Linked DNA regions of Solanum lycopersicum. The protein of the gene in region 4 binds, or shares a complex with, the protein of the main gene of each other region. Links are inferred from orthologs where the notes say so. Each region holds a gene or a part of one and is shown on either strand. Other genes may lie near its edges. The genes, in order: VIN3, VIN3-like protein 1, FIE and EZ1.

Evidence for each region.
Region 1: EZ1 (region 4) and VIN3 share a complex: the UniProt entries of both Arabidopsis thaliana proteins name them as parts of the plant homeodomain / polycomb repressive complex. The link is inferred for Solanum lycopersicum from reciprocal best matches to the Arabidopsis thaliana genes SWN and VEL1.
Region 2: EZ1 (region 4) and VIN3-like protein 1 share a complex: the UniProt entries of both Arabidopsis thaliana proteins name them as parts of the plant homeodomain / polycomb repressive complex. The link is inferred for Solanum lycopersicum from reciprocal best matches to the Arabidopsis thaliana genes SWN and VRN5.
Region 3: EZ1 (region 4) and FIE share a complex: the UniProt entries of both Arabidopsis thaliana proteins name them as parts of the plant homeodomain / polycomb repressive complex. The link is inferred for Solanum lycopersicum from reciprocal best matches to the Arabidopsis thaliana genes SWN and FIE.

What each region holds. Positions count from the first base shown.
Region 1 is NC_090806.1:12,271,448-12,278,948, forward strand, and holds the end of VIN3 (vernalization insensitive 3), read left to right. Parts: intron 1-5,023; coding exon 5,024-5,343; intron 5,344-5,536; coding exon 5,537-6,735; 3' UTR 6,736-7,002; downstream 7,003-7,501. UniProt on the Arabidopsis thaliana protein: Maybe involved in both the vernalization and photoperiod pathways by regulating gene expression. Binds preferentially to dimethylated histone H3 'Lys-9' (H3K9me2).
Region 2 is NC_090804.1:22,651,621-22,659,121, forward strand, and holds part of VIN3-like protein 1, read left to right. Parts: intron 1-4,424; 5' UTR 4,425-4,588; coding exon 4,589-5,046; intron 5,047-7,501. UniProt on the Arabidopsis thaliana protein: Involved in both the vernalization and photoperiod pathways by regulating expression of the related floral repressors FLOWERING LOCUS C (FLC) and FLOWERING LOCUS M (FLM).
Region 3 is NC_090806.1:68,820,535-68,828,552, forward strand, and holds the start of FIE (fertilization-independent endosperm protein), read right to left. Parts: upstream 5,228-8,018; 5' UTR 5,139-5,227; coding exon 4,959-5,138; intron 3,722-4,958; coding exon 3,656-3,721; intron 3,556-3,655; coding exon 3,433-3,555; intron 3,093-3,432; coding exon 3,012-3,092; intron 2,846-3,011; coding exon 2,753-2,845; intron 2,625-2,752; coding exon 2,549-2,624; intron 1,815-2,548; coding exon 1,735-1,814; intron 1,635-1,734; coding exon 1,563-1,634; intron 1,229-1,562; coding exon 1,169-1,228; intron 1,084-1,168; coding exon 987-1,083; intron 641-986; coding exon 577-640; intron 491-576; coding exon 431-490; intron 347-430; coding exon 280-346; 3' UTR 1-279. Other genes in the region: protein CHLORORESPIRATORY REDUCTION 41, chloroplastic, read left to right, coding at 6,443-7,051; pentatricopeptide repeat-containing protein At4g04790, mitochondrial, read right to left, coding at 7,854-8,018. UniProt on the Arabidopsis thaliana protein: Polycomb group (PcG) protein. PcG proteins act by forming multiprotein complexes, which are required to maintain the transcriptionally repressive state of homeotic genes throughout development.
Region 4 is NC_090800.1:74,603,647-74,611,147, reverse strand, and holds part of EZ1 (histone-lysine N-methyltransferase EZ1), read right to left. Parts: intron 4,928-7,501; coding exon 4,843-4,927; intron 4,648-4,842; coding exon 4,492-4,647; intron 4,412-4,491; coding exon 4,364-4,411; intron 4,292-4,363; coding exon 4,220-4,291; intron 3,700-4,219; coding exon 3,582-3,699; intron 3,462-3,581; coding exon 3,062-3,461; intron 1,090-3,061; coding exon 945-1,089; intron 1-944. UniProt on the Arabidopsis thaliana protein: Polycomb group (PcG) protein. Catalytic subunit of some PcG multiprotein complex, which methylates 'Lys-27' of histone H3, leading to transcriptional repression of the affected target genes, mainly abscisic acid (ABA) responsive elements.

The DNA.
Region 1 (7,501 bases), on a different chromosome or scaffold from region 4:
GTATATTTGCATCTCGATTCTTCTTTTCCCAAGGAGATGAATCTGTAAATTAAGGCTTAAAACCATGATTTCAGTTTCAAACTTGTAGAGGAGTTTTGTCCTTGTGTATGGTGTTGCATAATTTTACAATCCTAAGCTTGTATTGATGATTGAGCTTGTGGGAGCTGTGGAGAATACCTTCCCTTTGCTATGAGCTCAACGAGCTTGTTGTGCCGCTACAAGCTCGTCAGATTGGCTATTAACAATTTCGAAATTTGATGTCTAACATGTGCTAAAAGATAGATGTATTGAGAACTTCAAGTCACTCCTCTTTTTTTCGACAATGGAACCTTAGCCCATATATGCAATGTTTCCTAAATAAACCATATGACACTGTAGCATGACCAAAGCTTTTGATGCCTGCTTTATTCCTAGCCTTTAAGGTCATACGAGTGCAAATTTGTATTACATATTTTCTGAATTTTTCCTCCTTCCTATATATATTTTGCCAGTTCTTTTTTTTTTTTGAAGCTTTGATCCAAGTCTTAGAGTTCAAAAGGTATTTTTTACCAATGTCTTTGGATTCACCATGTTTTTCTTATCCCACATAAGTGCGGTATGTCCCAATTATTGGTGTAGTCTATACTTGCTTATCTAATCCACTTATATAATATGATTTGAGTTGCTGAGACGATTGTTGTGTTGTTGTCAAAATGATCGACTTATTGTGGGTAATGGACTGAAAGGGTTAGATTTGCAGCTGGCTATGAGCCCTTGCCTTTTAACCTTTATTGTGGCAAAGGGACTCCTAGGACTACTGGGGAAGACCATTCTAAGCAGATATCAGTGCCAACAAGTTGGTTGTGCTACCAAGGTTATTTTCTATTCATGAAAGTATGGATTCCTGTTTGGTGGGTAGAGTTACCCGGTACTTCTGCTGATGGGAGGTAACATCCCGGTGGAATTAGTTGAGGTGTGTCTAAGTTGACCCTGACACCACCGTAAAAAAAAAGAAAGAAGTATGGTCTTCTGTATAGTAAATGAATTTGCTGATGGCAGATATATAACATTTATTATATCTTGGACATTTCTAGCCTATGCGAAGTCTGACTGTACTTCATTAGAACAACAAGTTAGATCTCCTAAGGGGATCTAGTTTTGGGTTTGATACTTGGATTTCAGTTTGTCAGTTTGATAACTGAAATTTCCATGCCCTGAATATATAATAGTCTGGGACATCTGATGGAATAAATGTATAAACCACTAAAAACAAGACTTGTCACATGTATGAATTATGGAACATGTATGTAGATTTACTTCTCTGACGGTGTTTGAGATTATTCCATCCAAAGAAGAATGATACCATTAATATTTAGGAAGTTCTAACAGATTTTTTCTGACGATCGACCATCTTTCCAAAGTTCAAACATCTTTGTAGGTGTTTTACGTATCTATTATGGTTTATAGTAACTCTTTCTCCTCATCCAATCAAATCTAATGTTAATATTATGCTGTCCAAACATTCAGTTATTCCATGATATTTGGCTTATTTTATAGTTTCTCTGATGTCACATGCATATTGCTTATTCCTTGTAAGCATTCACTGGATCTTCGGATGGTTCAAAATTGGGAAGCATAGATATAAGCTGCGAGTCTGTCTGTCACTTCCTTTTGTGATCCTATTGAATGATAGTTTTTGCAGATATTTTAATCTCCATAAGCCAGTTTGTAAACAACTCCTATTTTGTTCCAAAAAATCTTTGGATGGGAGGGATTGAAGGCCTTGTATATTTCATGAACACGTACAGACATGAACACTACATACCAAACTAGTTTTTGTTGTTCTCTCTTTTCCCCTTTTTGGTACTAGTGGAGATTGAGTACCTTGATTCCAATTTTTATTAAAATAAAGGTGATATTCAATGTTTTGCGAACTATTGTGGCATTTAATGTATGAGTCATATGATGAAATTATGAGAAAGAATGATAAGAGCATAGACTTGGAAACACCACAAGAGTAATAGATAACCAGTTTGGGTGCATGCCCTGTAGATCTACATCTGAGACTACATTTTTGTGTAGGAGATTGATGGAAGTTTATCGTAGACAAAATTTGCACATGGTGTTCATTGGCCTAGAAAAATTATATGATAGAGTACAAAGAAAGGTTCTTTGGTGGGTGTCGTCGTGTCGGAGAAGAAAGGACCTGTTAACTATATAAAAGTCATAAAAGACATGTATGAAAGAGTCTTCACTAGCCTGAGAACTGTAGTAGGGAATGCGAAGGAGATCTTGTAATCATGGATTTACACCAGGGATTGTCATTGAACCCATACTTGTTTATGCTAGCTACGGATGAGCTATCCAACATAATACAAGACGAGGGTCTAACCAACATGATACAAGATGAGGTCACTTAACTCATGTCCCATCCCTTCCCCTTGCCCCCTGGACATGATCCTATTCGACCACACCAAAGCCACCAAAGGAGATGTAAATTAAACAAGATGCAAGAGAAATAAGAATCTACTAAAACTATTGAATCAAGCAGAGAGACTAGGACTAATTAACTATAATAAGAACAGAAGAAAAGCAAGAAATATTATACAGAATGAACTGAAGCAACTAGCTCTAGAATATGGGTATACCCAAAATACTAACACCAGAGAAACCACAAGAACTATGAAATATATGGCACTATGGATCAAGAAACGAAGAGTCCGAGGGCAGAGTTAAATCAAGAGCAAAGTGAAGAAGGGATAGAGATATGCAATATTACACAATTAACAATGATACAAGAAAGATAGATCTGAAGACAATATAGGGAACCAATCTGAAAACTAGATCTGAAATGTAACTCTAGATATGCATATAGCAATGAAACAAATCTGAAAACCAGAAACTGAAGGCAAACTGATGTGAAACTGGAATAATTTGGGAAGATAGAACCTGTAACTTGAAGAGGAGATAGGAGGTACTTCATCCGGGCACTGGGGAGGTAAGCGGTCCGTGTTCTGCTGCTGCCCTTGTAACTTGAGACCCAACCCAGAATTATGGAGAAAGAAAACTCTAGAGTTGCTGGAGTAGATGTGCTTTCCAGAGCAGTGGCAGTGATGGACGAGCTGCGGTGGTGAAAGAAAACCCTAGAGTCAGGGTCCAAGAAAGTGAGAGAGAAATAGTCACAGGGAGTTTTGGCGCCGGTGAAGAAGATGGCCGATGAGTGGTTAGTGTGGCGGCAAAATTTCACCGGAGAAGACAGATTGTAACGCTGTCCAAGCAAGTTCTTGAATGAGATGAATTCTTGCACCCAAAGATGAAGGGGGTACATTTTCATGTTATTGCTAACTCAAACGTCATTAGCTTCAAGCGATAAAAGAACAAGGTTAAGAAGATAGGAAATTGTGTTTTTTTTTTTCCATGCAGGCAATTTACTGGGTGAATGAAATTATAGATGAAGATGTTACAAATAGAATCAGAATTGAATAGTTGAAACAAAATAGTGTTTCTGGTTGTTATGTGGTAGAGAGATGCCTACCAAAGTGAAAGGTAAGTTTTTTAGAATAGTTATAAAACCAACAATGCTTTATGAGAGTGATTCTTGGGTCGTGAAAGTTAAACACATTTACAAGAAGAATTTTGAAGAAATACAGATGCTAAGATGAATTTGTGGTCATACTAAATTTGACAAGATTAGAAATGATTATATTACTAGAATGTTTAAGTAGCACACGTCGAGGGGAAAATGTCCGAAAGCTTCTTGAAATAATTTGTTCATCATGTGTCAATCTGCAGTGTAATACACCGGTCTATAGGTGTGCAACCATTGTGAAGGTAAGTGTTAAAAGAGGAGGAAAATGCATCTAAGGACCTAAAATCCTTGGGAACCCATGCAGACATAGCGAAGTGGGGCACAGTGGATAAAAATCTAGATATTCGTTGCCTGTTCTTTTGAGGCGAGGGTTTATCGGAACCACCTCTCTGCCCCACAAATGTAGGGGCAAGGTCTACATACGTCCTACTCTCCTCACACCTCACTTGTGGGACTACAGGAGTTCTGTTATTGTTGTAGTCAATGCTTATTAGAGTATTAGTTGAAAATTTGTTTTAGGCATGTTAGCACTTTTACTGCCCTATACTTTATAGTAGTGGTTTAGCATTTCAGAGATTTGTAGGTTCAAAAAATTATGGAGAACTTTTATTACTTTTTATTTGTATTTGCAAAATATTGGCATGTTGTGAGTTTAAATGGATAACATGATCAATGAGGATTCATATAACAAACCCCAACTTGTTTGGGACTAAGGTGTACTGCTGTTGTGAACTTAATTTTCAATTGCATTATTGAATTATAGTGAACTATTTCCACTATTGTCAGGATGCAGCTGACTAGTTTAGTGAGATGGTTGTTGAATCAATAAAGGAAAAATGTCAAAGAACTAACGACATGTACATAAGCTCTTTTATTTACTGTGGCCTGTGGGATACATACCTCTATAATTAAAATGCAAGCTATGTTTATTATTTAGGACTAAAGATGTTCTATTTCTCTGATTCTTGCAGTTCCTTGAAAAAACAATATTTTGAAGATTGTACAAAAAAATAATATAAGAAAAAAATTATAGCTTTAAAAATGAAGAGAAAAAAAACAATCTACCTTTCACTAGAAACATTTTAGAAGTTCAAATCAAACAACTCAAATATTCATATTAATAAATAAAGTTTTTATAACATCATCCAAGTGCAGACAAATGACTAACATGTTATTAACTAAAATTTAAATAATTTGGTTTTAGGCCACTATATTTTAGTGAATAACATGTTAATCATTTGTATGCACTTGGTTGGATGATGTTATAAAAACATTATTTATTAATATGAAACATAGTTTAGTGAGATGGTTGTAGAATCCATAAAGGAAAAATGTCAAAGAACTAATGACATGTACATCACCTCTTTTATTTACTGTGAGATACAGACCTCTATAATTAAAAAGCAAGCTATTTTTATTAGGATTAAAGATGTTCTATTTCTCCAATTCTTGCAGTTCCTTGAAAAAACAACTGATTGTAGCAAGAGATACCAGGCGTGTAGACATATTATGTTATAGGCTTTCATTGAGCCAAAAACTTTCTTTTGGTGCCGAAAATTGCCCAAAGCTGTATGAAGTTCTAGATGAAGCAGTGAACAAGCTTGAAGCAGATGTTGGCCCTTTGACTGGTTTGCCTGTGAAGATGGCTAGAGGTATAGTGAACAGGCTCTCATTTGGCCCTGCTGTTCAGCAACTTTGTGGCTTGGCTGTTGAGTACATAGATGCCCTTCTCTCTGAGAGAGTGTCTGAAATGCCATCTAATGCTAAGGTCAAAGGTAATACTCATTCTAATTTGTGGTTTGTTTGTGCAGTACATAGATACTCTCCTTATTTTTATTGATTCTGTAGATTTACCTTTCTCTTCATGTGTTATTGTGATGCCTTCATTGGTTTCTTTGTCTAAGCTTGGTACTCATTTGATTTAAGTCAAGTGAAGTAATCAGCATTTACATGGGCTATATTTTTTAGATTGCGAGGTGATAGAATCAAAGCTTGTCAGATTTGAGGATGTCTTTCCCTCATCTGTGACCGTTGTTTTGAGTTCTGAAGGGTCATCTATGGAGAATGTTGTTGGTTACTCCTTGTGGCATCGGAAAGCTGTTGAAACGGAATATCCAGTAGAACCAACTCGAACATTGTTTTCCCCAAACACTAGGTTTGTGCTCTCAGATCTGATGCCAGCTACAGATTATGTTCTCAAGATTGTTTCCCTTGATAGCAAGAAAGAACTGGGAATGTTTGAAGTTCAATTCTGCTCCAGTAAAGCTGAAAATGAACTATCTAATCTGAACATGAAAAGTTTAGAAGTTGAAAGAAGTCAAAGTCCACCAACAAATTGCAGCAACCTTTCTAATCCTTCTTCAGTGGAGGATGAAACTAATAACATCGTGCTATGCAGCAATGAGGCTGAGAACAGAGGGGATAATTGTCTTTCTTGTTGTGATAACACTGATAAAGCAATTTCTACAGACTTGTGCTGCACCACGGTCGCCTTTGCTAGTAAAAGTCATATAGGAAATGAAGAAGTAATGGTATCTTTAGGTGATGAGGAAGATAGCATTGTCAAAGTAACCTCCTTGCCAAATACTGATGCTATAAATCTTGAGAACAAGCAATGTTCAGATGTTCAAACAACAGAAGAGACGAGCACTGATAATGGGTCAAATGCACCTCTCCAGACTGCCTTAGAATTCGCACCATTTGTAGGTAGTGTGGATGCTGGCTTACCCATCACACCCTGCAAGATGGAGAATGTGAAGGGAAGCCTCGGCCGGAAAGGGAAATCAGAACATTGCAGCAAGGATCTTGATAATGGATCGGGGAAGGAGGATGGACCACAAGTTGGCTGTTCTTCAAAGAAGAGAGTTGGAGAATGGCATGAAGAATGTGCTGGAACTGGAGATAAGGATTTTGAGTATTATGTCAAAGTAGTTAGATGGTTAGAGTGTGGTGAGCATATTGACAAGACATTCAGGCAGAAGTTCTTAACGTGGTATAGCTTAAGAGCTACACCACAAGATGTTAGGATTGTCAAGGCATTTGTTGATACCCTAATCGAAGATCCAGCATCACTTGCTGGGCAGCTGGTTGATACTTTCTCTGATGTTATTTCAAGCAAGAGAGCTTCTGTAGTTCCAGCAGGCTTTTGCCTAAAGCTTTGGCATTAAAGGATTCAGAATGTGGATCCTCTATCCTCTATAGTCGCTGCTTAACTGAACATAATTCTTTTGATTCCCAAATTGTTCCATGTCGATTCATATTTATGATGTAAACGATTAAATCATCTTTAATTATTATTTTTTTTTCCTTATAGGTTGGTTCTACCCAATTCATCCACATTTCTCTCTGATGTTATGACATTGGAGTTGGAATGGAAGTGATATTGCTCTGTAAGATAATTTGAAATACAAAATCTGATTTGATATTTACTTCTTTTTTTGTAGAAGAAATCATAATTTTTTAAAATTGTCCTCCTCCTCTTTCTATGACCTCAACTTTTGTTGTCCTTGGCATCTGTTTTGAACGAAGTAAACTTGAATTTCCTCCTTTGACATAACATCTCCAGGTTGCAATAAGTTTGACTAGAAAAAAAAAACAATTACATGAAATGGTTCTATCCCGAAACAAAAAACTACATTATTATTATTATTACAAGGGGCAAAAAACAAAACTATTTACATTTTTTTTGTAAATGTCTTGTACATAAGATACAAATATATATATACATTTCTTGGGAGCAGCTATACAGTATCATTTTCTCATAAAATTCACTGCAAGTTTGTATATTAAACTTATAAAGAAAATGGCATAAATGATCAATGATGCTTCAATGTATGTTCAAAATAGTCCCTTTAGTGTACAACAGAGAAAATAGACCAAAAAAAATGGACCCATTAACAAATAGAAAAGAAAAAGAAAAAAAGAATAGCTCTA
Region 2 (7,501 bases), on a different chromosome or scaffold from region 4:
TGCTTCCTCGCTCTCCCTCGCTGTCGCGTCTCTTCTCCCTCGCCGGCGACCTCGCGACTCTCTGTTTTCAGGTAATGTCGCGTCTCTGTTCTTCTGCTTCTTCTATTCTTATTTTTTCTGTTCTTTCTTCTTCATTTTTTTTTATTTTGGTAAGCTGCGTAAGCAGCAGTGAGGACTCAGTAAGTGTAACAAGTGTTAATTTTTTTTAAAAAATTCTTTTGATAATTTTGAAGAAGAATAGACTTTTAAAGTTTTGGTTTATTGTATTTTGAATTGTTTGGTCTTTAAAGTTTTAGACATTCTATTGGTTTTTGAATTGAATATTTGTTAATATGTGTTATTGCTATTAAGACTTTGGATAAAATATGCAATTAAATATTTTTAATTTTTGGTATTAATTGGCGCCTTTATTCAAAAAGGCAAGCGCCTCGCCGCGTGGCGAGGCAGGCCCTTGTCGCCTTTTGTCGCCTCTCGCCGTCCACAACACTGGTGGCAGCATAACAGAGCTCAAGGAGGTATGGGGGTTAAGAATTAGAAGCTGCAAAATAATAGCCTATTTATGATATTGTTATGGAGATACAATGTGGAGCATCAAGCTCTCTAGAAGGAAGTAGTCCAGCAAAAATTTTGCCAAGAAGGACACTGGTGTATAAAGTAGGTTACAAACATATGGTGTAGGGCTATGGAGATCTATTAGATATCTGTGGCCTGATTTCAAGAGAAGTGTCTGTAACATGATAGGAAATGACAATAGGATTTTTTTTGGAAAGGCAATTGGACTAGAAATGGAATGCCACAAGAACTTTTTCCTATGTTGTTCTCTATTAGTGGCAAACCTGACTGCAAAGTTGAAGAATCTTGCACCTCAAGGTTGGGACCAAACATTGAGAAGGTTGCTATGTGAATGGGAAGTGATTGTGTGGCTAAACTACCGAGTTAGTGGGAAGTTGGGCACAAAAATTGAAGATGATACAGTCAGATGGAACCATCAAAGTGATGGAGTATTTACATTGAGCAGGCGTATTCAAGGGGAATATATGAATTGGCAGGAGTTTCAACTGGCGAAGTTTGTGTAGAAGAACATGGAACCAATTAAGATGAAATGTTTTGCTTGGCTGGTTGTGAGGAGAGCTTGTCTTACACATTCTACGGGAAAGAAGAATAGAAGTAGCATCTATATGTTGTTTACATCAAGAGGCAGCATAAAAGAATAACCATTTGTTTCTTCTATGTAAAGTTACAACTATTAGTTTCGCTAAGGAAAGTTGGACTATGCCAGAACACCCAACAAATTTATTAAGCTGCTGGATAGAGGGGTTGGAGGTACTAAAAGACAGAAGATATGGTGAACAGTCCCAAGTTGTATATGTGGAATATGGAATGAGAGAATGGTAAATTTTCTGAAGGCAGATCCAGTTCCATTCAGAAGATCAAATGGAATTGTATTAGTTCATGTTTCTAGGGTAAAAAACTTACTTCTCCATCCCAATTTATGTGATGTAGTTTGACTTGACACTGAGTTAAAGAAATATGGAAAGACTTTGCGATGTTCCTAAATTACCTAAAAGAGTACACCTTTGTAGACTTCTTGCCAAATAAGTGGGACCCAATATGGGAAAATGTTGATGGTGTTATTAAATACTTGCCAAATAAAGAAATGTTTGATTCTTTTTGAGACGGACTAAAATATGAAGTTAGTAATATAAATTGGAACAGGAAGGAGTACAGATGATGAAATATAGATAGTACTTTCATAGGAGTTTTGTAATTAATACCACTCTGTAGCTCACTTTTTGGAGGTTGCTGTCGACATATCTCTTAGGGTCTGTTTGGAGAGCCACTTGGTAATTGAAATTGATGTAATTACTAGGGTAGTAATTACATTGTATAGTAATTACACTGACTTGTTTGGTTGTCACTGTGTAATTACACTATAATTACACATGTCCTGTTTGGCTGCCAACATATCTCTTAGGGTCTGTTTGGAGAGCCACTTGGTAATTGGAATTGATGTAATTACTAGGGTAGTAATTACATTGTCTAGTAATTACACTGACCTGTTTGGTTGTCACGGTGTAATTACACTATAATTACTCATGTTCTGTTTGGATGCCACCATGTAATTACACATGTTCTCTTTGGATGCACAAGAGCAATCATAAAATTATAACAAATTTTAAGAATAAAAATTAATTATTTAAATTTTATACTAGTCAAATAAGAAACTTTATAAATGACATTAAATAAAATATTTACGATATATATTCTTTGTTGAAAATATATTAATTAATAAACATATTTTCTGTAACTAATATTATGAAAAAATAATTGATTTATATTTTTTCAAATTAATATATTTCAATTGAATTGATCGTAACAACTAAAAGTATGAAATTTCTACGAACATGGTGAAATGCATGTTCGATAAAAAGAATAATATATAAATAAAATGTCATAAATTATTAAATGTTTGACAAAAATATAATCTATCAAGTCTAATCAAAACATGACGTGCAATGTAAAATTCAATATTACTAAAACAAATGAAACTGAAAATATAACATAAGTTATAAATTCAAAACAAAAAATTTAACATAATACTCTTACAACAAATTTCAGCACAGCAATAAATATGATTTATTTTTATTTTTTCTTAATAAAAAAACATATTTCTATAATCATACTTAACAATAAATTTTAATTCAAAAATTGGAATACTAATAAAATTATGCTAATGAGAAAGAATCACGTAAAGTAAGGTTAAGAACAAGAAGAGAATGAAATATAATTATATAAAATAAAATATAAACTTTTACAAATTTTTAGGATAATAACTTAAAAAAAACTTAAAATAATAGAAGTAAAAAAATTTAAACAAAAAAATTAAAATAGAAATAAAAAAAGAAATTAAAAAGTAATGTAATTACCAGCAATTCACAGCCTCTACCGGCAAATTGTAGAGTGTAATTACCCCCTGCCATACACAATTACCTGCTGACAAAGCAATTACCTGTCCTTCCAAACAGGACAAGACAGTGTAATTGCACCAATTACACCAAATTTAATTAAACAAACCCTTAATGTTGAGGAATCCAAAATTACCCGTTTTTAAAATTAGCGCATTCTTCTTGTTTTCTGATGCTAACCCTGTGGCTTTTGGTTACTTCAAGAGGAAGATGGTTTATGTGTCTCTATTTAAGAATAAAATGAACATTGAAATGCTAATGCTTAATGAAGGCCATCACATTGTGAACGATAACCTACATGTTAGATTTATTATTTCACTTCATTACTTTTTTTGGGGGGTGTGGGTGTTCACAATGGGGAAGTGGTTATAAAGTTATATGACCAAAGATGTGAGGGGTCATTTGGTAGCTGGTTTGAAGGTGGGCTAATCAAGTATTAAATCGTGCATAAGTAATACCATGTTTGTCTTGTTGCTTAGAGGTAAATTATTCATGTATAAAAATAATAGGCTATTTGGTTTGCAATTAGAAATTTGCATAACTATTACCAGGGAATCTATTATTATTATATGCAGGATAGAAGGTGGAATAATAATAATTGAATAACTAAACCCTGCATAAGGTGTATATAGAAAAATACATAGATTCCCTCATAACTAGCATTACTAATACCTGTTATAACTCGATCCAACTACCAAACGACCCCCAAGTGCTATAGGATTATTCTCCAATGTCCATTTCTTGTACCTTAATATAATGATTCTATAGACTTTACAGTTTGATGATAGAAATTGTTATTCACTGAAGTTCATAGATTTCCATTTGATAAAAAACGATAATGCCTTTCAGTCATATCGAGTAATAATAGTATTTTAGACCTTTCTATAAATCTTCTCGGTTGTACTCTTTTCTTGTGACATTTATATTAACTTCTTCATCTTTAAATGGATTCTGCTTTCAACTCTTCATATTTCTTGAAGTTCCTTCTGAAAATTTTATGCAGGATTATCATTTTCGGTAGCATTAAATAAATGATGTAATAAACTTCAACTCCCTTTTAAGTTTGCCTATTTCATATGTCATAAGTTCTGACTTCACCTTGAAAAAGGGATGAAATGTCAGTTATTGACACTCAAAAGCCACTGAAATTTCATTTTGTCGACATATATATGTGTGTGTGTGTGTGTGTGTTTCCATGGGCAGGAATGGACTTAAGTTTCTGAGATCTTTAAATGCAATGGAAAATCGTCCTGTACCTCTCCTTTTTCTGTATCGAGTATTTGACAGTCTGCAAGCAATTATATACGAACTTTCTTGCTCAAAAGACAGGTCAAATCATACTTCTGTTAGTGGATACAAATCCTTGTTACATTTCTTTTGATGAGATCCACTCAGTTTTTTCATTTTGCCACAACTGTTGATTCTTTGTATGCTAACTCATGTGTTCTTTATATCCAGTTTTTGGTGTTCTTAGTGTTTCGTCCAGTTTGAAAAGCATTACAGAGAAAATTCAAGAAGTTCAAAGGCACTCCAGAAATTCTTGAAATCTGGTCCAAAGGAAAGATATCTTGGAGTTTTACCAGGTCAAGGAAAAGAAGCTATTGATTTTATCCTAGTGCAAAATGTCTGAGCAATTCCCAAAGTTGAGTAAAAAGCAATTAAAGACTCAAGAACAAAAAAGAGTATCTTCAAGTCCCAAGGATCATTCTTCTAGAAAGCAGCTCAGAAAAGGGGAAAACCCTCTCCGAATTCTATCAGCTGCGGAGCAGTATGCTGATGTGAAATGTTCAAATTCATGGATTTGTAAAAATTCTGCATGCAGGGCAACTATTTCTATAGATGACACTTTTTGCAAGAGGTGCTCTTGTTGCATTTGTCACTTATTTGATGACAACAAGGATCCTAGTCTTTGGTTGGAGTGCACATCTGAATCTGGTCAGGGGGACTCCTGTGGCCTGACTTGTCACGTTGAGTGTGCACTCCAACGTGGGAAGGTGGGAGTTGTTGATCTAGGACAACTGATGCAGCTAGATGGGAGCTATTGTTGTGCTTCTTGTGGTAAAGTTTCTGGAATTCTTGGGTAAGTTTCTTTTAGATAAGTATAACAGTTCTCCCTTTCCAATGCTGATATGTTCGTTCAGTATTAAGCCAAACTAAAACTATACCAAGGTGGTAGGGTGAGTATATCCTTGTTTCCTTCTTTCCTGTAACATCCTTCTTTGGATTGGACTTCTGTCTGAAATCCCTTGACCTATTCTGTCTTTGACTTGCCTCACCAAGTCCTTTCCAACCTCTTCTGATGCACACTTAAGAACCATGAAAAGAACTACCTTACGAATGATTTGGAGCTTCCAGCAGTTGTATTTTCACTGGAAATTTATGTGTGTGTGTGTTGAGGGTAAAAATGTGTGACTCAGGAATCTACTCTGCATGCTGTGAACCTACATTTGGAAGGTTGAAAGAGGACTTATTCCCTTGGCACAAGTCTGTGCAGAGGGAGAAGTCTTGAAGCCATCTTCCTCTAAAATTATTTTATTGTCACTTTGCAGTAGTGAAGATGTTAATTGTTTAAATTCTCAAAGATGTTGATTGTTTATTCTTTGTTCAATCTTGATTAGTTTTTTTAAGTTCTGTTACTGATTTTCTGGTTGATCAGATTAGTCGATAGCTATTTCATAAGTGGAAAAGGGCCAAAAATACACCTGAAATATAGGAAAAGGTCTAAAAATACCTTCCATCCATCTTTTGGTCTAAAAAATACCCTTCCATTCACCTTTCTGGATCACTTAACCCTTGCAACTAACAATCCTTTTTTTATTTTTATTTTTTTAAAATATTAATTATGATTCATTTTTTATTGGATGAAATAAAAACCCGCCTTAAAAAAATTACCTCTTCCACACCCCAAAAATATTTTAAAGAAAAACTTAATATTTGTATTTGCGGTAACTTATTTTTTTAAAAGTTTGTTTTAGACAATTAACATATTATAAAAATATTAATAATTTCACAATTATAGAGATGTTATATTATTCATAAATCTTTTTCTTTTTCCTTTTTTTTTTTAATATTATTCATAAATCTTAAGCTTGTTTATCCTCCGTTAAATTTAAAAAATAAAAATAAATGATAACTTAATTTTTTTTACTAATGATCTTTGTGATAACTAATTTCGAAGAGAAAGTTCCATAAAAGACTATAACTAAAGATTAACTCAATTCAGAACAAAAAAGAAGATACATGCTCGTAGCCTATAGGGATAAGAAAAGTAGAAAAGAAGAGAATTTTATACCATCTCCATTTAAAAAAGAATGACATTCTCTTCTTTCCTTTTCAGTCTGTTTAAAAAAGAATGACTTCTTTTTTTTTTTTGGTAACATTTTAGTTTCAGCTTTCCGCGTGGCATGTTTAAGGCTACAAGATTAAAGAGCAAATTTGTACATTTGACATAACTTTAATTTAGAACCACAGGATTCAAAAGTCGTCTTTATTTACTTAAACTTCGTGTCAAGTCAAACTAAATCACTCTTTTTGAAACGGAGGTAGTAATATGTTATGGATAAGATAATATTAGTATGATAATGACATTATTAATTTGTTTATGAAATATTAATTATTTATCATGTTAAGAGTCTTGATTTAATTATTTAAATCTTAGCCATTTATTTTTCTCTATGTTGTGTGTCTTCAATCCAAGTAAGAGCTTGAGGAAAATAGAGAAAAAAATGGAGAGTAGCTGGATTAAAAAAAAATTAAAAAAATAAAAAGCTACCACAAATACAATAAACTACTTGAGTTTAAAAAAATGAAAATAAATTAGGGTCTTGAAGACTTATACTCCCTCCATTTCAAAAAGAATGACCCTATTTCCTTTTCAGGTTGTTTCAAAAAGAACGACCCTTTTCCTTTTTTTGCAACACTTTAACTTTAACTTTCCACGTGATTTGTTTACGACCACAGGATTAAAGGACACTTTGGTTCATTTGACATAACTTTAATTTAGAACCACAAGATTAAATAAAAAGTGTTCTTTCTTTTCTTAAACTACGTTCCAAGTCAAACTAGATCAACCTTTTTGAAACGGAGGGAGTATTGTTTTGACTTGGATAAATTATGGGGAACATATCGTTGAGATGGAGTTCTTATTTCATTCTATAAGAGAAATGACACATAATAAATATTTTTTAAATATAATTAAATAAAGAGAGTGTTGTTAGTTTCAAGGGTATGAGTGAGCCAAAAAAGTGAATACAAGGGTATTTCTAGACCAAAAATATGAGTAGAAGATATTTTTACACCAAAAGATGGATGAAAGGTTTTTTAGACCTTTTCCTATAGTCCAGGGGCATTTTTGGCCATTTTCTTCTTAAGTATCAACATGTAACTCTTAAGACATTGTGAGTGAATTTTAGGCTGTAAGCTGTCCTTTAAAAAATGCTAGACATTATAAATCCTTTTCATTGTAATGATTCTGCAACTTTACCCATCCATTTTAGCCCCTCCTGCATGAAGGGAAGCATTAGTTATCTTCTTGT
Region 3 (8,018 bases), on a different chromosome or scaffold from region 4:
TTACAAAGGTATTTTTGTCAATCGAAATAATACGAAGAACAAGATAAAAGGGGAGTCATAGTAATAATGCTAAAAACGATAACTAGACAAGTTTGACGTCCTATCAACCTTCCCAGATCATCGACCTCCATATGTCCAGCACTAATAGTACAAGTTCGATTCACTGGCACATCGAGATAGTCTCACAAGAAAGAGGTCAGAGATAAAGTTAAGCAGAATTTACAGGTGTGTTTGCATGTTTAGATATACTTTCGATCCTTCATAATAGTACATTCAAACTCAAAAAGTTGTTGCTACCACATCCCAGCGCCATATAGTCCCATCTTCACAACAGCTAAGTATGGTGCTGAAGAAAAAAGACAATCGGTTAGTGAAAGATATATCAAAAACATACACCAGAAGCAGTTAAAAAGTGATTTTGGATCTTAACCTTCCATCAAAAGACATGGCAGTCTGTCTAATTGGTTGTTTAGATTGAACATGAGACAGCCTGCAAAAGTTAAGCACAAACACTTTAAATCCAAAACATCAACGAGAAGGATCAGAAACTAGGGAGGGGGATGGATAGACATTAACTTTGCAATCAAAGTTGGCGGGCTTGTTTGTACTTCCCAGACAAAGATCTTGCCTTCTCTATTTCCTGTTAGACATAAGGTCAACGGGTGAATTCCAGAACAAGCTTGGGTCAAAACATACTATGAGTAATCTAGCATGCATGCAACAAATGGACCTAAAAACTTTTCGTTTATATTTTACTTGGGATAATATTAGATAATCTTGACAGCCTCTGGGTTACAAATGACTTCATGCCACACTCAGCAACCCCAGATTTTTTTTTTTTTTTTGGGGTGGGGGTGGGGGGTTACACAAGCAGTAACATTTGATTCCAAATTTGAGCATTATCCAGTGAACAGTACACTAACAGAAAAACTGTTGAGAAAACTCAGTAAGCACATTCAAGATTTTGATTTAACACTTAGAATTACCTATAGCTGCTGTTTTGTAGTGATAATCAAATGAAAGCTTAATAAACCATATATCACACTCCGGCACAGGATACTTTTGGAGGACGTCACTGGTGCCCTAAATGTAGAGCAATATACATTAGGAAATTTTCCAATTTTAGAAAATAATTATTAAAAAAATGGTTCAAACATGACCAACTAACCTCTCCAGCAGATTGTTCTTTCATCTTTGGTTCCCATAATAGAATTTCATTGTCAACACTCTTGAGTATTTCCAACAAAATTTAAGGATCAGTACAAGTAAAATATGAGAAGACCATGTAAAAGACGAGAAGATATCCTCAATCCATTAACAAGTAATTTTCAACTTGAGGTTGACAGCTCATGGTTAAGAAAGAAAGCTATTCTTTGCTTTTCCAGAGGTTCCCAGATTTGCTCTGATTTCCCCTCGACGAAATCAGAAGAGTAAATATCTCCCGGTAAGAAAGATAAAGCCAACCAATAATTCATACAATAGAACAGTTCTTTTCTAATAAGCTCATATAGAAGAACGGTAAAAAAAAAGAATTCAGGTAGAAAGCAGGTCAATATATTCACCTTGGACAAGATAAAATCACCAAGCCATCTGTTACAGTCAACGTAGTTGTTATGGACAGAAGCTATTAACAACTGAAAGGACAAAAAGAAGGTTACAGCAAGAAAAAATCCTCCAACCAAACTTTCAGAAGAAAGAAGGCAGGGAAGGAGAGAATTAACAAGAGTTACTCACTGGAAACTGTACATATTTTGTGGGAAACTTGGAAGGAAGATCCGTCCAAGTAAACGATTTCTCCACATATGTCCAGAATTCTGTAGCACAAGTAGTTCATCAGAAAAGAAATATCAGCTCATATTGATGTTACTTCTTTATATATACTGGTAACATTACTCAAATTGATGTTACTTCATTTTATTTTTTTTCAAACTTGTGTAACAACAGAGCACCAATGGAGCAGATGACTACTTAATCTGACTCATAGCCAACGCTACATCGTTTCCAGGGACAACAGTAAGGTAATTGCTGATAGGTGTGACTATAACTAGGGAAGTAAAGTAGTGTAGATAAAAAGCATTGTGAACACCAGAATACATAAATTCTAGGATAACTGCATGCTGCCTAATATTCCTTCCAGGTAATTGGTACATTGATAACTGCGGTTGGATCTTTGAAAACGTTGGCATCATTTTTATACTTGTAACCAAAGACAAAGATATCCTTGTAGAAATATGTGCTAATAAATTAATGTATTCCACAATGAAGATTGTGTGCAAGTCATTATTTCAACACGTCCAGGTAGTCGTGTGAGATTCAAGATATATCGGTGGCAAAATCACCAAATCCAGAAAAGTACAGGCATAGCACCATCATCATCCCTAAAGATTCTGGAAAAGCCTTGTGAATACAGCCAATAACAAGTTGCTACTCTAAAGATCACCCTCAGTTTTTCTCTTTTCAAAGTTTTAGACTGTGATGATACTTAGTATTATATCATATGTCGTATTTCAATAATACATGTGAAACTGAAAAGGGTTACAGGTTTTACCTTTCATTGACCAGATCTTAACAGTGTTATCCATTCCACAGCTAGCAATCCGATATATATCAGTAGGATGGAAGTCCTACAAACATCACAAACCAGCTGATATGCTTAAATATTGGTTCTCAGTATTAGTAAAAGATGTGAAAGACATTACTTTGCGACCAACTCCATCCTTGGAGTGGAACTGCAATTGACAGAGAAACTTACCACACTAAGTACTTCATTCCGATGACCTCCAGCGCCAGCAAATACCAAAATGCATATTCCAGTATGAACATTCCACAAGCGAACAGATTCATCCTGTAACACTCGTGATAATTACACTATGCCATGTAAAATATTTGCAAAATTGATTGATACTCCACATACATCTTGCAACTGTGCAAATATTTTTCTTCCAATAAAGAGGATCAAATATATTTTTCCTTGCGGGGGAAGGAAATAGAGGAATCCATAAGGTACATACTTTGCTGGCAGATAATACAAGAGATGGTTTCAAGGGTTGAGTCCTAATTTCATTTACTGAGTCTCCGTGCCCCACAAAGCTCTGTTCAATCATAAGAAAGTAGATTAAAATAGATTAATAGACATATGATATTAAGTTAACATGTAACTAGCTTTAACTTTTAAGAGAACCTTTCTCTTTCAAGTTTGTATTGTTAATACAACTTAACATGGAACGAATCATGAAGGAATATTTAACTTGTAAATATCATGATGAATAAGATGGATTGAATCATGGAAAAAGGAAATACTTTAGTTTTAAGATAAAGATCAATTAGAGGGCTGTTAAAAACTCATATGCAGATATTCATTTTTTATAACTAAAAGAGCAACTACTTTTGTTTGAGCATGTAAAATGTGAATCAGAGATTTCATGTCAAGACCTTGTGTAGCTTCTCTTTCCCAGCATCAATAACACGAATAACTCCATTTATTCCACCAGCCACTAAGAATGGACTTCCATCAATATTGCAGGCCCAACTTACAGTGTAAAAGGATTCATCTTTCTGATTTACACAGCACATGGAAAAAACAAAAGTTTTTTAAGTATATGAAATAACATATGTACAGAACAGATGGAACAACTGTGTGCTTGCAACTTCTTACATCTTCATCAATATAAGACTGCAGCACAGCAATGACACCACCTTCGAGACACTGATATACAGTCACCTGACGAACAGCCAGAAAATAAAGACTAGTCAGGATATCGACAATTGGCATACAGTAAAAGCATATCCTGACTTCCTGAGGCTAGTACTATTCTTCTGTTGTTGTTATCTTCTTTCAGTTCGGTATTCTGAAACAACTCTCAGATGACATATCTAGACCAATAAAAGACACATCACTTAACAAGAGCATGCACTTCTCCAAATCCTAAATTTACTTTTACATCATCCATAACTCTCAACTTAGATTAGAAATACAACAAGATATATAATAGCATAACTCCACACTGCTAAGAGATTATACAAGATTACAATCCATACCCAATTCTGAGAATCATAACCTTTGCCATGAACAATTTATAATAGTAAGGTGAACCATTAGGTAATTATTATCAAATCTGTTGAATATGTGGCACTCTGCATGTGTGGAGAAACATACAAAAACTGTCGATCATTACACCATACAACATAAGTTTGTACAAAGCTGGCTCATCCATCCTAAGTCATAACTACATAAAGACATTTCAGTTTGTGACGCATCAATGAATCTACCAAGATAAGCATAAGAGCAATTGTAGGAAACAAAAAGGGTCCTTGAACCATCAATCAACATTAAAGCAACTTGCAAGTCCAATTTTAGCACAATTTCATCTGAAACAAGCAGCAGCTCAACTAATATTAACCCCGAGGCATTTAAAAAAATAAGACAGACCAAGATGGAAAGAAAAACAAAAGATTGATACTTCTTACCTAAATTGTACAAATTTTGAACTTCCATACTAATACATGAACCCAAAAATAACAACAACAAGAAGACCAACTCTTCAACATTAACCCGTTTCATTTCAGAACTCAAGACAAATGAATGAAAAAATTGAACTTCCATACCAATAAATGAAGCCAATAATCACACACACAAAAAAAAAGAGCAACCCATCAGTCTCAAACAATTGGGACAGTTACACCCATACCCGTCATCCCGTTTCATTCTAGAACTCAAGACAAATCCTAAAAGAACGAAAATTTCGAACTTTCATAGTAATACATGAAGCCAACAACCACAATAACAACAATAAGAGCAACCCACCAACCTCAAACAATTAGGTCGTTCATACACGTACCCGTTTACCCGTTTCATTCCAGAGCTCAAATTACTAAAAGAAAAGTATTATATTCCACAAATTCGAATCAGCACAACAAACAAAATACAATTTTGACAAACCCCAAATGAAAAAACTCACACGATTTCCGCCCACAGTAGCAAAGACATTGAAGTAGCGCGAATCAATGAAATTGAAGACGACGCCATATAATGGGCGTTTGCCTTCTTGGAGTCTGTTCGTCACTCTATACTCCTTTTTCCTTGACGGTGTTAATGATCCAACAACTGGCTCACATCCTAGAGGTACTCTGGCCGCCATTGCTATCACTCCGCCAGAGCTTAGAGAGGAACGAAAAACTCTACATATTTACAGTGTCCCTAAAATATTTGTTAAAAAAAAAAAGACGCAAGTGACATTTTTTTTTAAGATTAATTTTATACGTGAGATGAAATTAGCGTTTTAGATATGATCTAAATTTTCAAATTAATATGATTTTCAGAATTTTAAATTATAATTTAAACGTTTTAAATAGAAAAATCGACCTGAATATATATTTTATTTTTAAAAACCTTAATAAAAATATTTTACCATCATTGTATTAAGTGCACAAGACATATCATTGTGAGTTTGTGACATTAATTAATTGAAAAAAACAATTTCTTTTACTAACACCTTGAACAGTATTAAGGTTCGATCAATTAATACGGTATGTTTTAAGAATAATATTATGATACGGTATATGTGATTTATTAAATTTTTATTTATTTGATAAGATTGTAAAAAAAATATAGAATAATTTTATAATTTATGATTTTTTTATATTCATGATAAAATGTTCAAACGACATATCCAAATAAAATTTGAACTTTATCTTATGATGATTTTGTGTCATATGACCAAACAAGATTCTAAACAAAAGTATATCAAGTACATCAGGAAAATAAATATGATTCTAAAGTAAAATTATCTTTAATTAGAGTAAAGTGATATTCTTCAACGATGAAAATAGTGTCACATGAAATGAACAAAACAAGTGTTGTATTCTATCTATATTAAAATACTGTCATATTTTATTTTTCGAGAGTAATTTAATCAATATTAATTTTAAATGAAAATAGGCGAAGAAGTATAGTTGGTTAGGAGGTATGGAGAGTTACTTTTACTTTTTGAGGGTGTAGGCTCGTAGATGTTTGTTATTGTACTAGCGACATTTCTTTCTTATTGACTTTGCAGTTTCTTCTTCGTTAGTTATTATGTTTTCTTCTTCTTTATACTTGAATTGATTGCTCTTGAGATGTGAGTATTCAAAAATAATTTCTTTACCTTCGCGAGATGGTGAAAAAATTTGCATATATTTTATCCTCTCAGATTCTACTTGTGAAATATCACTACATATGTTGTTATTGTTGTTTACCATATGTCAAGATTACACAAGAAATAATACAAGTCGTACTTTTTCTCAATATCAAAAATTAAACATGACAAATATTTCGAAACGCAATGTATTTCAGGTAGATATTTAGCTCAATCTAGATATTCACTTTTATCAAATAGTGTATATTGACAAAAGTAAATACTACACTATATAAGACCTTATCAACTTTGTTGGAGAATTTAAAACAATGGCTTCTTCTTCAAATATTCTTCAACTTCACCATCTCCATCTTCTTCCTTCAATTCATCCAATTTCTTGCGTAAAGCAATTCACTATCAAATGCACTTCACCTGAATCTTCTTCAGACCCAGAATTTCTAACCCCAAATTCAGAAACAACAATTAGCCCAGAAAAATTCCCAATTGAAAAACGTCGAAAATCCGAGATAATCCGTGAGAGAAAATCAAGAACTGAGCTTATAAAGCAAGACCCACCAAATTTCGAAATTGGGTGGAAGAGAACAAAGCCAATTCCATTAGATAAGCCAATTGGGTATGTGATAATGGATTTTTTGGAGAAATTGGAAGAGTTAATGGCTAGGGATTTTGGGTCGACGGCGTTGTTAGCGAAAGTTGGAGAAATAGTTGCAGAAAGAGCTAGGGAAGAAGCGGAAGTGTTGAAAGACGAAGGAAAAGTGGAGGAGAGAATGGTGACGGAATTGTACAGAGTTTTGAAGCTTATGGAAATGGATTTAGCTATGGTGAGTGCTGCTGTTAAAGAAGAAACATTGAATAAAAGACTTGAACAAGCTAAAGCACGTTGTAGGCAAGCCATTCTTGTTGCTAATTCTTTTTGACAAATTTGTAGCATCTTTGTTTCACTTGTACTGTATTTAAGTCTGTATTTCATTATCGACGAGCACGACCCAGAAAGCAAAAATCCTTGCTTTTGCTGGCTAGGGTTAAATATTGACACCTCCAATATGAAAGTCCCGAGTCCAAACCACGAGGTCACCTCGAAAGGATTGTAGATTTCATTTTTGGCCAAAAGCTGAAATTTTTCCTATTGTATTACAAAAAATCATCAATAATCGTTACATCTTTACTATCAAGGAGTACAATTGAAATATACTTTCTGAATATAGTAAATAAAAATTGTTCAAAGAGGCAACATCTTTGAGCAATAAAGAAAAGGATTATCAATTTCTCTTCATTGTTGTTCTCCCTGATAGATTATTCGAACACCACGAAGCATTTTCTGTATGCGTAAAGCTTGTTAAACATCTCTACGCTGCAGTCCGTCACTTTCTATGCCATACAGAATATATGTTTCTCTTTCAAGATCAGAAGGAACACCAACCTTTTTTAAGGCATGATACCAGAAGTCGAAAGAAGTGTCGTCTCTTGATCAACTTCCAACTTGCTGTTAGTCTCAGGGCAACTTTAAAGCACGAACGAGTTCTCAACACTAAAAGTTGTACATCTACATGAACTGCAAAATGTTGATCTCATACAACTGCTGCACCCAAAAGAAAAGGGATGAAGAAGAGTGAGCACAAAGAGGAAGGGGAAAAAAAAAACGTAGCAGGAACAGAGACCGGCATGTTCAGAACTAACACATACCGAAGAATTTTCTAAATCCCCTACGAATTCCACTTTTCACATCTTATATGTCACAATCTTCCCAGTCTTGTTTTCTTTCTTTTTCCCTTTTGCGGAGGCAGACGTTCCATAAGCTGTTTGACAAGCTTTGACTACATTGCAAACATGAAAATCATCCCTTGGTATATTATTGAGAATATTTGCTGCAGATTTGTAGTCCCC
Region 4 (7,501 bases):
GAAGATCCGACTTTCTTGAATTCCTAAAATAAACCTGTGCATCATTCTGATGCTTCAAAATTGAACTAGAAGTAATTCTTGACAATATGATTTTTCCTTCTGCATGTGAAAATATCTTATTCTGGCTAGAAAATACCATGGTTTTTTCTTTGAGAGCCAAAAGGTACCCCACTCTTGTAAAATACAAAAAAAAGAGGGTACAAAATGTTAGAGGGTAGCATGGCCTGCTGCTCCAAATATTTATAACTGTCAAATGGTCTCATGAATACTATAAAATCCATGATGATTTTTCTTTTTATTGCAAGGCTGATAGCTTGGAACAGTCTGTTCAGACTGCTTTGTCCAAGTTATAGACTGAAATTAGAAGTCTGTATGCAGCCCTAGGTTATACTACAAGAACTAAAATAATAACCTTCATGAATTAACTTTTTTAGGTAATTTATTGTAAAGTGAGATTAACGAGTGCCTGTATTATAATTTATCGCACTAAAATATCGATATGGACTTTGATGCAATGTGATGTTTGGTTTTGCAATTGGGCTAACTTTTTACTTTGAACTTTATCATTGGATTTAAGTCCATCATTTGGTAGGGGAAGCCTTTTACCATTTTAGGATTTGAAGAGAAGACCAACAATCCCATTAACACTATCCTTGTCCTTGGATTGAAAAATATCAGCATAAGGAGTTAGTTTTATGAGGACAAGGATAATGTTAATGGGATCGTTAGTATTAATATGGGGACACTGCTGGATTGAAAAAATATAAGCATTAAAAGGACAATGCTGTACAAACACCCAATTATTAAGCAGGTAAAATATGTTCCCAAATCTATGTACCACATGAACCCCTCAGTCGTCTCAAGGTCTGAGGAATATGAGGATTCATGTGTATCTTTGGGCCAATGCATCAAGTAAATGAGTTGGCATGAAGAGGAGCACAAACCATGTAATCCATGTCAGCTTTCCCATTATCCTCCGAAAATAAGCTTGAGGAGCCTCCACGTTGCGCCGCTGCTCTGTTATCCATGTAAGAGGATACCTCCATACAAGTTTTCAAGCCAGGAAGTAAGTTTCTAGCAATTAGGCAACTGCAATGAATGAGATATCCATTAGAGCTGACACATATTGACACAGCAATCTCATTTCAGCATATCAATCACAAGAATCTGTTACCAAAACTTAATCAACTTCATGTATTCAAGAAGTACGAACAAGTGGTGGGGAGGGGTTTAGAATATGATCTGCATGAAAAGAAAGAGCAGATTTCTCATGAGGGACCAGATCAGCTAGAGTATGGTGTAGCATTTACCCATGTGCTCCTTTTGTCTCGTAACATTTAAAAAAGAACTTCAACATATCCTTAATGTTGATGAATACAATTTACCAATTTCAAAAAAAAAAAAAAACATTTAAAAAAGAACTCTCCTTAAATGTAAAAGGGTCCCTGGAAGACCAGAAAAAAGATGAATGTTCCCTACTTTCACTTCTATGATTGACTGATTGATTGATACTGAGGAAAGTTCAGTAACTAATCTTGGCATAGAAAGAAACAAAAACTTTAATAGCTAACATCTGGTCTTTTATACAGGCATATCACAGGTAAAGTGTAACAACAACAACAACATGCCTAGTGCAATCCTAAGATGTACACAGACCTTACCCCTACCTATATGGGGAAGATAGACTGTTTGCCATTGATAGACCCTCGGCTTGAAAGAAAAGAAGAATTTGAAGCTCTGGCCATGAAGCTGTAGACTACATACTATCTGTGTCTCCACTCCTCCCCCAAGCCCCTTAGCCGCCAACTACACCCCCTATCACCTAGGCTCTAGTGTGAGCTAGAAAAATATCCCTGAGTTGGATGCTGATTCATTTATCACAATAATAAAAGTGAAAAGGACTCCAAAAAAATCTGATACTCGATCACCTTCATATTGTTTATTGCTTAAATGACATCAATAATACTTCTGTAAAAGATAATTTAACATAGCATAAGATCCCAGAAAATGCAGTACAGCTAAAGCCATCCCCTGTTCATAGCTCACTGACCAATTCTACTTATCTAAACTTTATACTAGCTGCAATTGCCCATGGTTCCTCACAGGAATGTGTGCCCTTTTGAATCCAAAACTTAATCAGCTCTATAATTGCCGCTCCGAAATATGGTGTTAGATGGTACAATAATATGTATGCCTGTAGAACCATATAAAGTACCTCCATCGGAAATTAATTCAAGCATCTTTAGAATGTGAAGAAAATGAGGATTGGCTATCTGAAAGCCCCAGGAAAGGATTGCTTGAAATTGGCGGGAGACACAAAAAAAATAGCAGTATATCCATATGGAAATCCTTTAAATGAATACAAAGAATGTGGACCTTCACAACAACAACATACCCAGCAAATCCCACAAAGTGAGGTCAGAATGTGGAGCTTTGGATCTTAAAAATAATTTCATAGATGTCAGCTTGGAAACACTAATGTGTGTAGCTAGAAGAGAATGGCAGACAGTTCCTATTTCTGAGTTTGATCTAGCATTGCACGCGGAAACAGCATCTTTCACAAATACAAGGTAAGGCTGCTAAATAAGACATAATGTGGTCCGCCCTTCCCCAGACCTGAGCATAGCGGGAGCTTAGTCCACCGGGCTCCCTTTAGTCTGACTTATCATTGCATGTAGCTGAAATACATTGCAAGGGTTGTAAAGTTTTAAGGATTTGTTAACACTGACCTGAGTACTCCCAAAAGTACCAAGTGACATGTGAAGACTCAGAGAGACTCCTTTTGTTTTTACCATCTAATCTCTCACTCTCTGTTCTTCTGTCAACAAGAAACAACTACGAACTACCTGACTAGATGATATCCACAATGAAAGGAAATATCTGGTGTAGCAATTTTTTGTTAAATCAAAGAAAGGTACAAGTTAAATTTGGAACAGTCATTTCCATCTTTTTCATTCACATGGACATGCATTTCTTACCACTGATGATATAAACCTATTTTAATGTAAAATAATTGTAATTCTATTATTGAGAAAGAACCAATATCAACTAAAAATCATACCTATTTCTCCCAAATATCTCTATCCCCTTTAAATATAGTTCTTTCTCTAGGGGTTTCCATTCTGGTAAATTTTTGGAGTAGGATGCATGCTTCACAGTTTCCTTTATAGTGTCCTCTCCTTCATTTGAGACATTGTCCCCAGTCTCATGCAAAGAAGTACCATGATTATAGCCAGACTGATCTGGTGCTTGTGAATGTGATACATAATCATTGGTGCTAATAGACATCCCATTGCTCTCAGATCCATCTTCTGCTGCCACACTAACAGCAGTAGGGAGTGACAATTTCCTTCTCTTACCAGAAGAATCTTGTTGGTCATCCAAAACTAGATTTGACTTCTCTAAAGTTGTGTTTATAGAATCTGATACTCCATGCTTCATTTTGCTATCAATGTGCTCGTCTATTGTGACAAGGAAACATAAACAAGTTGAACCAGCAACATGTAACTTCATATGTTATAGACAAGACAAGAAAAATCAGCAAAGCGATCTGTCATCAAAAGTGTGTGAATCATCGTCACCTGGATCTCTAGTTCTTTTGATGTCCATAGTGCTACCTCCCGCTTCTGAAGTGTGTTTTTCTAGTCCTTCCACTGGATCTACATTTGAATATTTAGTCTGGTTTGCTACACCTTTTACCTAAAACCTCAAAATGAATTTCTCCACATAAAAAGCTGAAAGTGAGTGAAAAAAGAAGAAGGGAGAAAAAGGGGAAGAGCAAGTTAGCAAATGAGGGAGCAGACAGTAGCAGTGGCAAGTATTACCAAAACTGAACTGATTATGTAATATAAAGGAAAAATTTAAAATTAGAATGGAGGTTTTAAAGTCTAGAAGATAAATGTATATTTATGATCATCTGCTCCAGAGATGGTAAACTTAGTAGAAAAATCACTTGGCATTTGACAGTCAGACCCAAAACTAGCAAACCAGCTAATACCAAAGTTGTATGTTAAAAGCAGAGCTGCCTAAATACTTACTGAAAAAGCTAAGCTGCTTAGTTAAAAAAGTTTGGGAACTAAAATACTACAAATATTCCGGACTAACTCAAAAACAAGGGTTATCTTAATAAACCAAATCAATGATACATTGAGGGGAATTCCTACCTTAAAGAGGTATGATCTACTTGCTTGTGTATAAATGTCGAAACTCAAAAGAATACCTTAAGATAACACCGATCACCACAAGGTTTTCTATCATCTTCAGAATCAGAAGAATAAGGCTGCTTTTCAATCTGCCAAATGAAAAAGACTTTCAGATTTTCATATACAAATTCAGTAGAATAAGCTGGGAAAATTATACTTACAGCATCAATAAGAATTTGTGAACAGCCATGCAGACGACAGTCGAACACCTGTATTAGTACAGGGAGCCAATTAATAACACATTAAACTTCTGTTTCAGTTTTAAAAAAAACACATTTCGATCACATACCAGACAGCGGCGACAGAAAAGGTTATCAAAGGAATCTAAAGCAGCAGTAAGGCTTTTGTCTAGAAACATGCTCCCCCCAAATCCACTTTCCCTAGAATCTTTTAAGCTTTTGCCGTCTGTATCTTGATGTTTTTCCTCAAGCACATTACAGTGCTCCTAATAAAACAAACAAAGAAATACAAATCAGATGGTATACAAATTGATTTCACAGGTAGCCACTAACAAGACAACCGTGAAAGATAGAGAAACATGTGTCAACATGTGAGCAAGACCAAACACACATAAATGAGGTAACTAAAATATCTACTATCTATAAGTTCATTACCCAATTACATCACCAACTCAGTTTACCAGGATTTCAGAAGTGGTGCCTCCAACATACTGAGTCAAGATGTCAAGAACTTCTTCATTAAGCCCAAACTCCCGTGAAGCCATCCTACAGAATCCCATAAAGTGAAAATAAGATGGCTCTGTGAGAAACAAGCAAACTGACAAGCACAAAAAAAATGTTTCCTGTCTGAAATCTGAAGGCTGCAGCTGCACCCTTTCTGTCAGAGAACTACTAGAACGAAATGCAAGCAACTCCCACCAGCTGGCTAAATATAGGTAGGATATTCTAGTTCACTGAAGGTGCTTGGAAGCTTACATAAACATACAGAAAGCTACCTATTATATCCAAGGGAGAAGTGTAATATGCCCAGGCTACTGTAGCAGGGGACTGGGGATAGGACAGGATAACTGATCATCTGTCAATCCAACAACTTAGAACAATCAAATCAACACTCTTCATACCAAAAAGAGATGATTTTGGATGTATGAGAGTCAAAGCACCTACTTTTTGGTGTATATCTGAACATTGACCTTCTTTATGGTTTTAAAATTACATATTCAGAGACTACTTGAAGTGATACAGATCAAAATGTTCTATTAAAGTACTTAGAAATTTCTATATGTTTTGATAGTATTTTTTTTGGATAACCGTGGTGCCTGGACCAGCTTGCTTGCATCTTGACCAATTCCACGGGATACCTCCCACCAGCATTATGTACAAGTAACTCTGTCCAAAAAGCCTGACATAGATGGGAAGAAATAACCTAGTGTTTTTTTTTGTCTCCGTTAAGATTTGAAAGTGAAACATGGTTCTCAACTCACTTACAACCTTTGGGGCTAATAGTAATTATAAACGGGATAAAGGGAGTATTCTTCTTTACCCATATGAGCTATGAGTGTCTGAGGAAAACCTATCATCATTTCACAAAACCAAAAATTAAGGAAATCTATGGACACAGAAAACAAAAAAAGAACAGAGCTGAAAGGAGATATTGTGCTCTGGATCTGTATTATTCAGGAAACAACAGAATAACTCTTCTAATTCTAGTAAATGGAAATCTCAAATGTAAAGAAAATGACAAGGATAAAACTCTCAGTTGCAGAATTTCTTTACTGTAGCACTTCGGAAAGTTTGAAATTTTTAAAGGCAATTAAGAAGTTCTAAACATTCTAACTACCTTAATTTGCGTTTGAATGAGGGCTAATGATATGAAGCACATCACATGGACACGATGATAAGTATACGAGGTATATTGGAAAAGATAATGGGGTCTAGGAGAGCCTTGGGGCGGGGCCAAACCAAATTGGAAACCACACTATGGACTAAAGTTGTATAGAAATGCGCACAAAGCCTTACTTTATACTAGCATTCTATGAGGAGTTATGGTGTGCACTATATATCAAATTAAAGTTTACAGTTTCCAAAGGTTCAAGCCATTAGTATCTGGACATTCATACAAGGAGATATGGCCATTTTACCAAAGACTGGCAGTACTATCACGGGTCATGCGACGCATTGCCATATCGACAGACTTCCAGGTGCATATAAAAACCAGTTTCGGGACAGAATTGGATTTTGAGAAAGCAGTTACTGTTGAGAGCTCAAAAGTAGCAATTTGATGCTTGGGAGCTCTATTACAAACAAAGGTACGTCAGTAATGATATATTTGAGTTAATTATACTTGATATACATGGATTTTAACATCATTCAAACAAACAAATCTATAAATTTTATCAAATTGTTCAAGAACACCAAAAATCCCAAGCTTACGATTTTTTAGGAAAAACTTGAAGAAGGTAAATACACTACCTAGAACTAGTTTATTTTTTTTGAGAATGATAACTTCTAGAACTAGTTTATTTATTAAGGTCCAAAGTATTCGTTGCTAGTTGTGGTGGTTGAAAGAGTTGTAAATGGAAAACTCTCATTGTGTTGGAAGTTGGATAAATGGTGAGGAAGTTTGGATATGCTTTGGCCTTTGATGTATTTGAGATACCGCATTTGTAGAAATCGACTTATTGATCGTGTTTGGTTAATTTAGTAAGTGTACCTTGGCATGCCCTTGGGGGATAAGAGCAAGTCAAAGGCATATGGAACAATGTTCCGGAGAAATGTGAGAAAAAGCTAGTGAATTGGAAAAGCAAATATTTGTCTCTAGGTGGAAGAGTTACTCTCATCACAGTGTGTTGGATGCTATGCCTACATACATGATATCAATTTTCCCAATGCGTGCAAATGTAATTGACAAAATGGATGCTATCAGAAGAATTATTTTGTGGCAAGGGAACTGTGATCCTAATGAGCAAAAATATCATCTTGTAAAGTGGGATGAAGTCATTCAAAGCAAAAAAGTAGGGGGTCTGGGGATAAGGAAACCTAAAATTGCAGAATCGAAGCCTTTTGATGAAATTGCTATGGAGATTTGCATCACAGGAACAAGCACTGTGGAAGGAGACAATCAAGGCTAGGTTTGGCATGGAGAACAAATGGACTACCTACATGCCCACACAACTGTACGGGACTGGAGTATGGAGGTCTATCAGAACTCAGTGGATCAAGTTTGCAAACAACTGTAAAATCAAGGTGAGAAAAGGGGGGAAAACACTATTTTGGGAAGATGTGTGGGCTGGACAAGAAACTTTATAGAACAGGTATCCAGACTTGTTCAACCTGAGCCTT